3 linked regions of the Mus musculus genome follow. The protein of the gene in region 2 purifies or fractionates together with the protein of the main gene of each other region. This does not show direct contact. Links are inferred from orthologs where the notes say so. Each region holds a gene or a part of one and is shown on either strand. Other genes may lie near its edges.

Region 1 (5,222 bases), on a different chromosome or scaffold from region 2:
AAGGCTCCAGACTCAGCTCAGTGTATGGCTTCTTCCTTTAGTTTGAAGCTTCAGAATTATTTGACCACCTCAGCTGCACACCGTCTAGGTGAAGCAGTATTTCACACCAGGGCACTGCTTCTTTCCCCTGTGTCTCCCTGTCTGTCCTGGCACCCAAACTGCAACCTGGAACAATTCTGAACATCATTTTTTCTTTCAATCCTCCAATACTAACTCAACACCACTTGCCAAGCACCTACTAGCAACTGGAGATGAGTAAGCACACAGAGATTTAGTCATCAAAAGGGGACCTTAAAAAGTACCAGGATCCAGAGAAACCTTGTCTCAAAAACAAAACAAAAAACAACAAAAGTGCCAGGATTCCTTTTGGCTGTTGAAGTCTCAATTCCCCCACCCCACCCCCACAGGAAAAAAAAAACACCCTAATTTATTACATTTATGTGCGTGTGTGGCCAAACAGTGGTGGTATATGCCTTTTAGGAGGCAGAGGCAGGTGCATCTCTGAGTTCAAGACCAGCCTGGCATACAAAGTGAGGTCTACGACAGCCAGGGCTGCACAGACAAATCCTGTCTCGAAAAACAAAACAAACAAACAACAAAAAACCCCAAAGCCCCCAAAACATTCATGTGTGCATGTGTGTTGCAACAAGAGGTCAGAGACAATGTGTGAGAGTCACACATTGAACTGTCACACTCTGAACTGTCTCCTTTGATCACGTGGGTTAAACAGAGGTCCTCAGCTTGACAACTCTGTCTTTTTTGAGACAAGATCTCATGTAGCCTTGGAGAGCATCAAACTTCCTATGTAGCTGAGACTAGCCCTCAACTTCCGATCCTCCTGTCTTCACCTCCCCAGTGCTGGGTTACAAGTGTCAGCACCACACCTGGTTTGAGGGTTACTAGGGACTGAATTCAAGGCCTCGTACATGCTAGGCAAGCCCTCGTTAAGCTACGCCCCTGCCCCTCTCCATCTCTAACACTCTACTCAGAGAAGCCAGGCTGAGCTTCCAGATATGCTCACGTCAAATCTCTGCTTAGAAATCTTAGATGTGGGCTGGTGAGATGGCTCAGCGGGTAAGAGCACTGACTGCTCTTCCAAAGGTACTGAGTTCAAATCCCAGCAACCACATGGTGGCTCAAAACCATCCATAACGAGATCTGACGCCCTCTTCTGGAGTGTCTGAAGACAGCTACAGTGCACTTACATATAATAAATAAATAAATAAATCTTTAAAAAAAAAAGAAAGAAAGAAATCTTAGATGCATCCCTGCTGCTTTCAGAATGAAACCTCAGATATGACTAAGCTTAACAGGGCCATCTTTTGGGCTTGCTCACTGTCTGAAGACAGTTTCCACCACGATGTCCCTGAGCCAGCTGTGTATTCCCCAACAACTCTGTCCTTCCAGGACTAGGCCACTAGAATGAAAACTACACTTGTGGATCCTCCCAGGTAAACGCCACCTCGGCCGGCTTTCTGCACCATTGTTTTCTCACTTGGCACATCATTTACACATCTGTCTCCTCACTGAGCTGGTGAAGAGGAAGGAATCTGTCTCATTAAAACAAAAAAACAGGATTGCAGAGATGGCTCAGTGGTTAAGAACACTGGCTGCTCTTCCAGAGGTCCTGAGTTCAATTCTCAACACCCACATGGTGGCTCACAACCATGTGTAATGGGATCTGTAGTGATGCCCTCTTTGGGTGTATCTGAAGACAGTGACATTGTACTCACATACATAAGTAAATCATTAAACAAACAAACAAACAAACAAATATTTCTTTGCTTATGTGTATGGTGTTTTGTCAGCATGTCTGTGCACCTTGTGCATGGAAGCCCTGAGACTGGAGTTATACAAGGTTACCAGATGCCATGTAGGTGCTGAAAATTAAACCTAGGTCCACTGGAAGTGTCGCCAGTGTTCTTAACCATCCCTCCGGCTCCTGCCTCACTTGATTTCTTATGTACAGCACCCGGGACAGGCTTTAGTGGTGCACTAAGCCTTGAGCAAAATGAAGCTGGGTCATATGGTAGTGACAAGAGACAGAAGGTGGCAAAAAGTCCATAGAGCCAAGTGACCCTGGCTCAGATGTACCACTGCCTCGAACTGCTGGTGAGTTAAGTCTTCCCATGAAAAGTGCTGAGAGATTAAAGTCAAGTCGTTCGCTTGTGCTCACTCTGGGCAGATCTAGCCGACAGAGCTGAGCACGGTGGGTGTCACTGTTAAATAAGAAGCAGATTCTGACTGTAACTAAATGTTAACAACGGGGACACATCCTAAGACATGTTGTTTAGCAAATCTGTCATTGTATGAACATCTCTTATTATAGTGTGTGTGTACACGTGTGTGGTGTGTGTGTGTTCATGGAGGTGCATGCATGTGTAGATGTGCTCATGAGCATGCTGAGGGCAAAGCTCGACCACTCTTCACCTGATTGTTTTTCAAGGCTTATTTTTGTGTATGACTGTTGTACCTGCTTGTGTGTATGTGCAAAACGTGCATGCCTGGTGCCTGTAGAGTTCAGAAGTGTCAGACGCCCTGGAAATAAGACTTAGAGATGGTTGTGAGCCACCATGTGGGTGCTGGGAAAAACAGCAAGTGCTCTTAACTACTCTGCCACCACTCCAGCTCCAACTACCTTATCTCTCTCTCTCTCTCTCTCCCTCTCTCTCTCTCTCTCTCTCTCCCTCCCTCTCTCTCTCTCTCATCTATCCAACCATCCATCTACTTATGTATTTATTTGAGACAAGATCTCACTATGTAGCCCTGGCTTGCCAAGAACTTGTTCTGTAGACCAGGCTGGTCTCAAACTCAGAGAGATTTGCCTGCCTCTGCCTCCTGAGTGCTGGGCCTAAGGGCCAGTCACCATGGCCAGCTTCCGGAACACCTTGATAGAGCCACCATGCCACCAGTTCTCAGGTTGGACATGCTGCTGGAGCACCCAGCTTATTACACAAATGTCTTAAGGGTACTTACACACACTGAGACACCTTTGTCATTAGACAGTGTAGTCTGATGGGACCACCATGTGGCTTGCCTTTGACAGAAATCATTACACGCTATGAACTACAGCATATCTAAACCCTAGTGCTGGCCTCAGACACCCAGCCCTGGTCTCTCTCCTAGCTGGGGCTCAGCGGCTTTGGTCCCGCCCTCTGCAGCAGCGGCTGTGGCCCTGCCCTCCCTCCGCAGCGGCGGCTGTCACACCTGTGTCTGGCAAGTACTGGAACTCCATGGGCTCACTGAGCTCGCGATCAGAAGGCCGCCGTAGCTGCATGGAGACTCGAACAGGAGCCTGGAGGCTGGGGTCGGCGTACGGAGGAGTCCGGAACACAATGGCCACTTGCCGATGCACATCAGCTTGAGAAAAGGAGCCTCGTGCCTCCCAGCCTGGTCCCGTGAAATACACCTCAATGTCTTCTGCAGGAGACAGTGGCAGTATGGGTTAGTATGTGTGACCCAACTGGTTGTTGTCCTCAACACCTGATGTTTTTCCCTGTGACATCACCTGCTTTCCCTGAAGCCGCTGAGGTAGCTGGCACTCATCACCTCCGCTCAGCCTCACCCCTCCCCTCTCCGTGCAGAGTCCAGTGTGTACCTTTCTGCACCTTGTCGCACAGCAAGAAGATCTCATCCCCACCGAGGCAGCTCCCAGAGTTCCGGTTTACTCGGCAGATCTTGAGCTCGGCAGTGTTGGGGGCCCCTGAAACATCAGCGGTCTCAGGGTACCCTGCAGGAGCTCTAACGCCCGCCACGCCCAGCCCGCCACGTCCAGGCCACAGCCTGCTGACCACACTTCTGCAGACCGCTGCTGTCTGCTCTCTATGTCAGGCAATTCCCGATCAGTCTCTCTGCAGTACGGGTAGCATGGCTCTAGGTGAAGGGACACTGAAGGCCGGATGTCCCTGTTCTCCAGAGATCCTCCAGTCCAGAGGACACACTCTGACCACACCTGCCGCCCTCCACCTTAGCGGCACAGTTTCAGCTTTCGGTTCATCCCGCCTCACTTCCAGTTAGTCCTGGCTTCCGGTTCTTAGGACTCTGAAGCCCTTTGGTTTTCCTTTAATTTACCCTGCTGCTAAAGACTGCAATCCATCAAAGTCAGCCAGGTCATCTGAGAGCTTCCTGGGAGCTGCTACAGCTGAATTCCTGCTGTCTAGAAGGATCTGGTCTCTGAGAGCTTGTTTCCTAAAGTCCTGAGCACAGTTCTTGGCAGACCAGCTTCCCAACCCCAGATATGGGAAGCAGTCACTTCCCACCAGGCTCCTGGGCATCCTGGCCGCTTCAGTCACAGGGCAGCTCTGGGTCTTCTCCACCCCACCCCCTGCAGCACAGCTGGAAGGCGCTGGATGACTGAAGGAAGCCAGAGCTCTTCTCCCAGGCCTCACCCACCCGGTCCCCATTCAGTTCCCAAGCCCGCCCTCATCCCTACTGCAGCCGGCCACTTACGGTTATCAAAAATCGGATGTGAGAGGACAGGGGTCAGGAGGAGGGGCCTGCCTGCTGGGTCCCGCACTGTCACCTGGAAGCAGAGGCGCACTGCATTCAAGTCATAGTCCCCGCGCTGCTCCTCTATAGGAACTGTCAAAAACAAAAAAACAACAAAAACAAAAAACAAAACACTGTGGTGGAAGGCATTGGGGGTGGGGGAGGGGGGACGGGCCAGGGAGCTCTGAGGAAAGAGGAAGGTGATTTGAGGAGATGTAAAACAGAAGTCTAAGGGGAGGAAGACCCTAGATCCATCACGGCTCTCCAGGAGCCCTCTCTAGGCCTGACTCTCAACGGCAGAGTGTGAGTGTGTGCCAAGCTGGCAGCAAGGTTCCACTCCTGCTGCTGGGTTGGCCATGGAGGGAGATGAGCGGCAGAGGCCCAGGGAAGGTGACAGAGATACTTGCACCACACGAAGATCAATGTCTTTGCCCCTTGCTCCTACCGTGAAAGGGGTTATTGTTGGTCTGGATTCGCTGGCTAATGGCTTGCTCCAGGTCTCGCTTCTTCACACACTGGATCCCCAGGTTCTGGAAGCTGAGGCCTCAGGTATTAGTTTTGTGTCTCCAGCAGAGCCCCTTCTTGCCTCCCAACTCCACAGCTCTCAGGTATGTCTAGGCTTCCCACTCCTTACCCACTGGCAAGTCTCTGAGGGAGCTGGCCCTCGCAGGCCTCCAAGCCAGTGCCCCACCTCAGCCACAGGGGCTTCCTTTCCCAGACCTAAGCACACGAAA
Region 2 (5,222 bases):
ATTTGGGTAATTTAAAACTTTGACTCTATCACTTAAAAAAAAGAAAGAAAAAAAAAAAAAAAAACCTGAGACCCAATACAAAAAAAGGCTATCCTTTAAGGGACATGAAACCTCTATCTAATTATGTGATCAACTGTGCCTTTATTGATGATTTTACGTTGGAAAACTACAGTCCTCTAAACTTTAATAAATTTTCAAAAATTTCAAATCAATTAACAATTAATTGATACTAATTCTTACCCAGTCATTCATAATATAGAATATCAAATATACATGTACACACACACACACACACACACACACACACACACACACAATCAGCCCATTGGAATCTTAGAAAAAAAACAAATGAGTTACCTTTAGTGTGATATACAATAGCAGCCCTCAGGTCAAAAGAACCCCAGCTATCATTCCTTTCTAGGCCTCTCTGGTATCTCTGTTCTTTGGCGGAGCCTAACAAAGTGTTCGTAGGAGAGGCCAGGGGATTTTGATTTTCTATTTCGTAGTCCTTTGAGAGAAACACTAAAGCACCTTGACTACTGGTGTCTGCTTTTTGCAGGTCACCTATATGACTGGGGTCCAAGGATAAGGCTCCACTCTCAGTAGTCCCAGGTTTTAGAATGTGACCCAGAACTTGAGGACTAGTCCGTTTTTCCAGCTCATAAGCCTTGGGAAACACAGGATGCTCAGTTCCTGAGGGAATTATTTCAGCACCCTGTGAAACCAAAGTGGCAGGATATTCTCCTTGAAATGTCACTTCCATCACTTTATGATCTGATGACTTTCCAATAACAGTCTCTGGGCCAGCACTGGGCTCATTTATAAATGATAAACCCCATTGATTCTGGAAGATATCCCCCAGGTTTTGCTGATCTGTCTGAGAGGGCAGATCTACTTGTGCACTTAACAGCACTGTTTGCATATTTGAAGGGTAGATAAAAAGGCTAGATTTAATTTGTTCAACGGCTGCTGAAGCCAGACTCATGTCCTGAAGAACAGAATCAGTCCCAGTAGAGATGGGTGTTAAAGTATTAGCAGCAGTCGTTAGCAGTGGCTGACCCCCAGATGGGTACACACTTCCATCAGTTCCTGCTAAAACAGGCCCATTAGAAAAACTGGCAGAAGTAACAGATTTCAGAGCTGACATCGGGACCTGGGATAACCGACTTGAAGACTGGGTCTGAGTTTCCCCAGTAGATGATGATGATGAAGATGAAGATGGTGACACGGAGGAGTTCTGTACAGTTTTGTTGAGGTTTTCCTTAACTTTGCTTGCATAACTTATTTTAGGAACTATTTTTGCACTGCTATTGTCCACTGGAAAAACTGGGGGTGGCTTAAACAAGGTCCATGAGTCCTCTTTGGAGGCAGCAGCTGAGGCATGCTTTCCTTTAGGCCGATCATCAAATTTTTTGCTACTCAAACCAGGTTTAATATCAGAGCTTTTACGAAGCACGTCACCCATAGCAGGTTTTCCACGACTTGTTCCTCCAGGTCCAGTTTCATATTTCCAAATAGGCTTTGAACCATCTACTCGCATTCCCTTTTGTTCACTATAGTCAGGCTTTAAAGTTTCAAGTCCCTGTTTTAATGCTGGGACACTAGTCTCTTGCATTATTTTGTCCTGCACTAAATTAAGGTTTTCACAACCCTTGGCACTATTGCGCCTAGCTTTCCTTTTTTTAGGAGTGGTATATCCACTCTCAGATCCACTACCATCATTATCTGCTCCTTTGCTCATATAACCATTAGTAATATAGCCTGAACTACTTGTTATAACACCATTTGGAATTGCTATGGTATCGGTCTTATCTACAGCCTGGGTCTCTCCAGATTTGTTTTCATAAGACTTCCCATTCTTTTTGTCCATACTGTTTTTCTGAATAAAATTCTTGGTTTTGATTCCTGCTTTTCCAAAGGTGCTGGTCTTTACAGTCTGCTTCAGGCTTGTTTCTACAACTTGCTGGTTGCCATTAAGGACCCTGGAAATAGGGTTGGTAGCTTCATCAGAACTGAGGCTCTTTAAAGATATTTCTCTTTCTCCAGCATTACCGTTTATTTCACCATAGCCTATAGAAGGAAAACAAAAACAAACAAAACACATACATTTAAATCACAGTAGTACTAAGACCAAACAACTTTACTGAACCCAATACTAAGCTGTATTGTAGGGTTTGTTGTATCTTATCTTTATGTAAAGAAACTTTATGTAAAGAAACTTTTACAGATTATGATACAGGGTTCAATGTCTAGGCAGAGGCAGACCTAGGACACAACTCATATCAGGTCCATCTTCTGGGCCAGTAGCCAGAATTAACTAGAAAGATCAGGACCTTTCAAGCAGCATGCCATAATCTCCTCTAAATTATCTAAACAGAATAAACCTTATGAATTATATCAATGAGTCTGCTAGAAAAACTGAAGCAAGATGATTATTGCATGATTGAAGCCTTCCTGAGCTACAGGGTGGAACCCTGTCTCACACACTATTTAGAATCAGTGCTACTTCAGATACAATAACCTGTAAAAGGAAAATAAAAATAAGGCTGTGGCCTTTGTCTCCCTTGTATGACCACTGAACTCAATCCCTAGTACTGAACCTCCCTGTACCCCCAAAGAGTATACTGAGGGCTAAAAGTGACTAGTTGCCAATGAATTTCAGACAAAGCCATAAGACCTGTGGACTTTTCCTCTTCTGGGATGACTAAAGATAGCTACAGTGTACTTACATATAATACAGAAACCTTAAAAACAAACAAACAAACAAAAAACCCAGCATACCATAAAACATGAAACAAAAATATGTAGTAACCCTTAAGACTCATTCTCAGCCAGGCCTCTTTATGCACGCCTTTAATCCCAGCACTTGGGAGTCAGAAGCAGGTGGATTTCTGAGTTCAAAGCCAGCCTGGGCTACAGAGTGAGTTCCAGGACAGCCAGGGCTACACAGAGAAACCCTGTCTTGGGGAAAAAAAAAAAAAAAAAAAAGACTCATTCTCTTACTTTTAGCTTCTACTTGGTTGTTAAAGCACCAGGAGAGAAAATGTTAACATCCAGGTCACAGAGTAACAGAACTAGGAATCTGTCTAGGACACATAATTTCCTACCTGCTTCCAACACTTTCATGCTCACAAAACTACAATGAAATGAATTTAGTATCCTAAAGCAGTCAAGTACTTGAACATAGACTTCTTTTTACAACTAACATTTGTTTTGTTTTGTTTTTAAGAAAATCATGTTTTTCTGTGTAGCCCTGACTGTGCTGGAATGCAAAATCACTGAGCTCAGAGATCCTCCTGCTTCTGCCTCCCAAGTGCTGGGATTAAAGGCGTGTGCCACCACTGATCAGCTTACAATTAATTATCTCTTATTAGAAGTGATTTACTGGGGGGCTGGAGAGATGGCTCAGCGGTTAAGAGCACTGACTGCTCTTCCAAAAGTCCTGAGTTCAAATCCCAGAAAACACATGGTGGCTCACAACCATCTGTAATGAGATCTGACTCCCTCTTTTGGAGTTGTCAGAAGACAACTACAGTGTTCTTACATAGAATAAATAAATAAATCTTTTTTAAAAAGTGATTTACTGGTTAAATCACAGCTTTCTACTCACTAATAAAATAGCAATTAGTTTTATCAATTGTTTTATGACCTCAAAAGACCTTTGGGAAACCCTCAATTCTAACAATAATCAAACAACAAATACTTTTCTTCTGTATGAACTTCCAGAAAAGAACACAGTTGCACAAAAACCAACTATAGACAATATTTTTTGTTTGTTTGACATAGGATTTCTGTGTACCCCTAGCCACCCTGGAACTCACTGAGTTTTGCCTGCCTCTGCCTCCCAATACTGGAATTAAAGATGTGTGCAGCCACTGCCCTGCATCAGAAACAAACATACTGCCATGTATCAAGTTCAATTCTCAACCCTTAGTAGTTAGGAAAAAATTAATTCCATATTCCCAGCATTACATTACCATTTTTCTAAAAACTGACAAAAATAGTATGTGGTTTTGTTTTCTATAACATTTTCTTTTAAAAAATGCAAAATGTTAAGCCAAGTCTAGATATGTATCCCTGAAATTTTGTCTCAAACAAAAACAAAAATTAGGGGCAGGGAGACCCAAATCAATAGATTTGCCTGGACCAAAGGCAACCAAGGAAAGAACTACTTTACCATCTACTATAAGTTAAGCAATACCTGTATCTTCTGGCTCATTAATCATAATTATATATATATATATGTGTATATATATATATATATATATATATATATATACATACATATATATATATTAAAAGGTGGGCAAGCCGGGTGTGGTGGCACATGCCTTTAATCCCAGCACTTAGGTGAGGCAGAAGCAGGTGGATTTCTGAGTTCGAGGCCAGCCTGGTCTACAGAGTGAGTTCCAGGACAGCCAGGGCTATACAGAAGCCCTGTCTCTGAAAATTAAGAAAACAAACAAACAAACAAACAAAAATTCACTTAACTACATATTTGTCTCCCTATGGCCTTGACATGCACTAAGTATGATAAGTACCTTTTAAAGCTTAGATATTTAAGAAAAATGTGAAGATGGTAGTTATTACAGAAAGCAATTAAAGAATCCCTGTGTCTTTATTATTTAGGGTGCCATGAGAACTCCACTTCAAATGGACTCAGCAAAACTTGAGTCCCAAATAAATCTAGCTTTTAGATTTGACACTGCAATTACTCAACATGTTTTGTCTCCTGTGCCCTCTTCTGGATCCAGAAAACCAGTTTCTCATAGCTTTGGAAGTAATGGTTCATAAAAACTTGTTAAGTATTTCCCTAGCATTTTCTAGATTTTTTAGCACAGTACCCAACGACCAAACCACATACGGGAAAGCCGCTGAGCCCAACTGTTAATAACCTCTAAATTTCCTAAACCCAGTTCCCTCCTCATTCTTCATCCCAGGTTAAGACACATTGTGAGGAGGGCCACCTTCAATGAATGGTTCAGGGTCTGCCTTTCTATGCAGTGAGGAGCCCTGTGGGGAATACATAAACCTCATAAAAGACAAATTCTGAATCTGTGAACAATACCACTGGGCAACCTTGATACTTTCTCACCTCATGAAAAGCAAAACTAATACAGTTACATAATTCCTAAGTTTCTAGGCTGCTGTAAATCCTTACAATTAAACACTTCTGCTCTATCATCAGTCCCTACTACCCTACAAAAGAAAATCTGATATCC
Region 3 (4,356 bases), about 24 Mb from region 2:
CACCCAAGTGATAGCTCACAGCCAGCTAAAGCTCCAGTGTCCTAGAATCCCAATGCCCGCTTCTGACCTCCCTGGGCAGCAGACACATACACGGTGTACAGACTCCCATGCACGGGTGGGTGGTTGGATGGATACATATACAAAACACACCCAGGAAGTAAACTGAAAAACATAAAACAAAACCTACCAAAGAGCTGTAACAGTGGCCTTTAAACCATCAGATATTAAAAGTTGGTTTTCTACAACTGTTACACTCTAAAGCAGAACCTACGGTTCTTGACCTACAGTTAAGAAACCACCTGGTTCAGAGCCTATATTATTAAATGTGCTGTAATTCTGCAATTATGTGGTGTAAGACACAGGGCTGACTGCTCATCCTATCCCATACCACCAAGGTTTCTACTCCCAAATTTCCAAGACATAGCTGCAGAGCCTAGTGAGCAGGGGCATCAAGCAGCACTGCTAGGAGACATCACGACTGCAGGAGCACAGTGTCCTGCTCTGACAAGGGAGGACCAAGGCCAAGGGATACACACACACCCACACACACCCACCCAAACTCCACGGCTGCTTTACTTACTATTTTGCGTACATGGCTCAGTGCACTCCCCTCTTTGCCTTTACAATTTTCCACTTGATATGGGGGTGTAATAACAACTTCTTCCATGACTACAATGTTTTTTTCTTGCCATTTACAGTCTTTAATGCTGAAAGGAGAAGAACGCAGGTAATTGTGACATCCTGGGGACACCCCATTAGTTCATCTAATGAAGAACTAACTTCAGAGGCAGGCGCTGTGGCCCACAACTTTAATCCCAGCACTTGGGAGGCAGAAGCAGGTGGACATGAATTTAAAGCTAGACCAGGCTACAGACAAAGTTCTAGTTCAGCCAGGGCTACACAGAGAAACCCTGTCTAGAAAAGAAGAGAAAGTCAGAGATGGGTAGATTTCTGAGTTTGAGGCCAGCCTGGTCTACAGGGTAGGCTACACAGAGAAACCCTGTCTCGAAAAAAAAGGAGAAGAAGAAGAGGAGGAGGAAGAAGAGGAGGAGGAGGGGGAGGAGGAAACAATACCACTAGACTAGTAGGCTGACCCCAAGTTCTCAGCTCACTACTGAGCCAGAGCAGAGGAGACAACAAACATTCCCCAGGCATCTGTGGACAGGACAGCAACATCACTAATGCACATTATCTTAGGGAGAGGCCAGAACCGATAGTGTGAAGCACCAGGGCCTGGAGAATCATAAAACATTTGGTGGCTGGTGGCAGTCTCAGAAGCTCAAACCAAGTTACAAATGAACAACCAGACCTAACCCACTAGAACCGACAACTTAAAGGTCTAGAGCAGAGGCTGCCAACTGCTTTCTAGATGGTGTCAGGTCACAAGCAGCTACAGAAACCTGCCAACAGATGACACATATACAAGGGGCAGATCTGTCTTGCCGGCATAATCTGTTCACCCTTGACCTAGGGAAAAAAATAGCACTTCTAGAAATAATGATCTGTACTTTGCTTCCACCCAGCCTCTGCCCTCAGCCATGTAAGCTGCACTCCAACTGGCCCCACTCAATTACCATAGGTAAACACCTGCCAGACCAGGAAGATCCATTTGAGTTCACACATGGGGAATCCCAGGGCAGCTGATGCTACTGTGAGAATTCCTTCACATACCTGGAAATGCTCAGATACACCCGGCCCCAGACAGTTTTACAGCCAGCTGCCATCTGTGCATCAGACCCTGGGTGGTTAAACAGGGTAACAGAAGGCAGTGTGTGGGGGAAGGGGGGTTGAGGAGGGTGTCAAATGTTCCAGCTTTTCAGCACGTAGGAAGCTAGTAGAGAGTCAATGACTTCTGCTGTGACAACATGTGTTTTAGAAGGAGGTAAGACGGTTGCCTTCTGTTCTTCCCAACTCCCTGTGTTTGTCCCAAGGCAAAGTAGGGAAAGTGATAGAACTTCCCTTAATAAAACCACAAGCTATCTTAGAGGCAAGGATGGCAGTAACAACAACAAGAAGCTAATCGTGAGCTCTAAATTATGGATTACTATTACCAGAGAGCCTTACAAAATAATGCAATCCCAAATACGTTTTCACAAACAGAAAGATTGCAATGACTGATTTAGGATCACAGTATTCTGTGCAAAGGGAGCTCCAAGCACCACATCTCTGGATGCCAATAAGCTGCCAACAGCTACCCTCGCTGCCCTGGTACACTTTCAGCAAGACAACCACCCAGAAGCCTTTTGTCCAACAGCCAACCTGACAGTATCAGCTCTAGAAATAGGAACCCATGCTCCCCCAACTCACGTCTTGTGAATGGTCTGGAAGAGCTGTTGGCCCTCCAGGGAGACACCAGCGCTGATTGCATAGGCCTGGCTCAGCTTCTCCTCCTTCTCCGTCCGTGCTTTGCTGGCAAGCTAGGGTGAGGGAGAGAAAAAAAGACTCAGAAAAGTGTTTTCCTTCATTCTTTCCAAGTCAGAGGAAGCAGGTCAGCAAAGATTGGTCTAGAGTCAGCATGACTAGAGAGCCAATGAAACAAACAACACCCCCCCCCCCCAACGAATACAGCATCTAGTTACTGCATGCAGTTCCTGGCCATCACCCCTCTTTTCTATTCTTCCCGGGGGGGGGGGGGCTTCCTATGTGCCAAACATGTACTGTGCTACGTTAGAGATTCATCCCAAAGAGAGCGTGAAAACACAAGGCAACTCCAGTGAAAAAGAACAGGAAAATGAGCATGGGGACATGCAGTGTGATAGGGTCGGGGTGGCTCTGGGAAGTGATAGCCATGGAGAAATACTATCACACACTTCTACTTAAAGAAGAGAGAGTACAGGTCACCCACTACTCCGCTAAACTCAGGTTTAGAAACCAATGTGCACTTTAACAGACAAGAGCTGAGACCCAGCTCTTGGCAATCAACGCTCAGCTTCTCCAGCACCATATGCTCATCTAATAGCCCGGGACTGAGCAACCCTAACCCACTTTCACCTGAGCTGGGGGCAGCTATGCCCCATTCTGCTCTGCACAAAAAAGAATGGTGTGAATTCTACCTTGTGCCTGCTGCTTCACTACCCCCGGTGGATCAATCTCAAACTGAACAAAGGAAATTCTAGTAAAATCTGGTAGTCTACTAAAATGTCAGACTCCTTCTGGCAAGGGTGGGTACCCTGTCAACCTATATTGTCCCACCTTACACTATTACTTGCTAGAAAAACTTTCAGTGTAAGACAAAACAAACGTGTTATACAAGGCAGTTAAGAAAAACAGGCACAGCCAGGCGTGGTGGCGCACACCTTTAATCCCAGTACTCAGGAGGCAGAGGCAGGTGGATCTCTGAGTTTGAGACCAGCCTGGTCTACAGAGCAAGTTCCAGGTCAGCCAGGACTAGAGAAACCCTGTCTCAAAAAAACCACAAAACAAAAACCAAACCAACAACAAAAGAAAAACAGCAAATAATGCACCTGAAAGCCAGGAGCGTGATCTACAGATGCTTCAGTCATCAACACAGCCCATACGTACAATATAAACGTAAGAAAGCTGCAGCACACCACGTACACACAGTAACGGTAAACACTTATGTCATCACAGAGGGCTCGCTCACACATGCTCTCATTTTTAGCCTCTCCAGGTAAAAGCAGAAACATGACAAACCTCTCCTGTGATTTGAAGCCAGAGATCACCTGGTCTCCAGATATAGACAGATACAAATATGAAGCAGTGTAGTAATTAATTTTCAGGCTTGGCTGCTGTTCTGACCCATCAGACTACAACTTCACAGAGGAATCAATGTACTCTGAGCAAGTCAATTCCAACTGAAGTGAGAAAGCCTGGAGCTTGGAAACAGAGTTTCTATGGAAAGAGAACTGCTGGTGTGTATTTTAAGCAACAATCAACGGCTTTTCAGGAACCAAGAAAACCCTGGTAACAAACCACGAGGGGTTTCCTTGAGTCTCACTTTTCAAACAATGTCTCAGAAAATGAAGTCTCCAAGGAAAGGAGAATAAACCAGAGGGCAGTGGCCCCTTCCTGAGCCCCTGAGGGCCACAGCTCCTTCCCTGAGCTATGCTTCGCCTCCTGGACAATGGACTCAACTACTCTATGATGCAATACCTGCAATTAGGCTGCCGAGCCCTCCACTTACTGCAGAGCCTGTCACCTTCAGCCAGCAGTTTACCTGCGTTTCCTGGCAATGTGAAAAGGCCTTTAACTCTCATCTTCACTGGAGAGTTGTACAATGAGGTCAGCTTCTCTCAAGATGCCCCAACAAGGCTGAGGCTGCATCTTAGTTGATACAGCAATGGCCCGGTAAGTTGAAGCACTAGGTTTGATCCCTAGCACTGAAGAAACCAGGGT

The links.
Region 1: the proteins of Nufip2 (region 2) and Rela purify together in Homo sapiens (affinity purification with mass spectrometry; 3 studies listed by BioGRID and IntAct, counting the BioPlex papers as one, with this or other methods). This does not show direct contact. The link is inferred for Mus musculus from reciprocal best matches to the Homo sapiens genes NUFIP2 and RELA.
Region 3: the proteins of Nufip2 (region 2) and Lsm12 purify together in Homo sapiens (affinity purification with mass spectrometry; 3 studies listed by BioGRID and IntAct, counting the BioPlex papers as one, with this or other methods). This does not show direct contact. The link is inferred for Mus musculus from reciprocal best matches to the Homo sapiens genes NUFIP2 and LSM12.

Annotation. Positions count from the first base shown.
Region 1 is NC_000085.6:5,639,662-5,644,883, reverse strand, and holds part of Rela (transcription factor p65), read right to left. Parts: intron 5,026-5,222; coding exon 4,934-5,025; intron 4,582-4,933; coding exon 4,450-4,581; intron 3,704-4,449; coding exon 3,599-3,703; intron 3,421-3,598; coding exon 3,208-3,420; intron 1-3,207. UniProt on the Homo sapiens protein: NF-kappa-B is a pleiotropic transcription factor present in almost all cell types and is the endpoint of a series of signal transduction events that are initiated by a vast array of stimuli related to many biological processes such as inflammation, immunity, differentiation, cell growth, tumorigenesis and apoptosis.
Region 2 is NC_000077.6:77,688,390-77,693,611, reverse strand, and holds part of Nufip2 (nuclear fragile X mental retardation-interacting protein 2), read right to left. Parts: intron 2,071-5,222; coding exon 358-2,070; intron 1-357. UniProt on the Homo sapiens protein: Binds RNA.
Region 3 is NC_000077.6:102,164,780-102,169,135, forward strand, and holds part of Lsm12 (protein LSM12 homolog), read right to left. Parts: intron 2,418-4,356; coding exon 2,308-2,417; intron 708-2,307; coding exon 581-707; intron 1-580. UniProt on the Homo sapiens protein: Nicotinic acid adenine dinucleotide phosphate (NAADP) binding protein. Confers NAADP sensitivity to the two pore channel complex (TPCs) by acting as TPC accessory protein necessary for NAADP-evoked Ca(2+) release.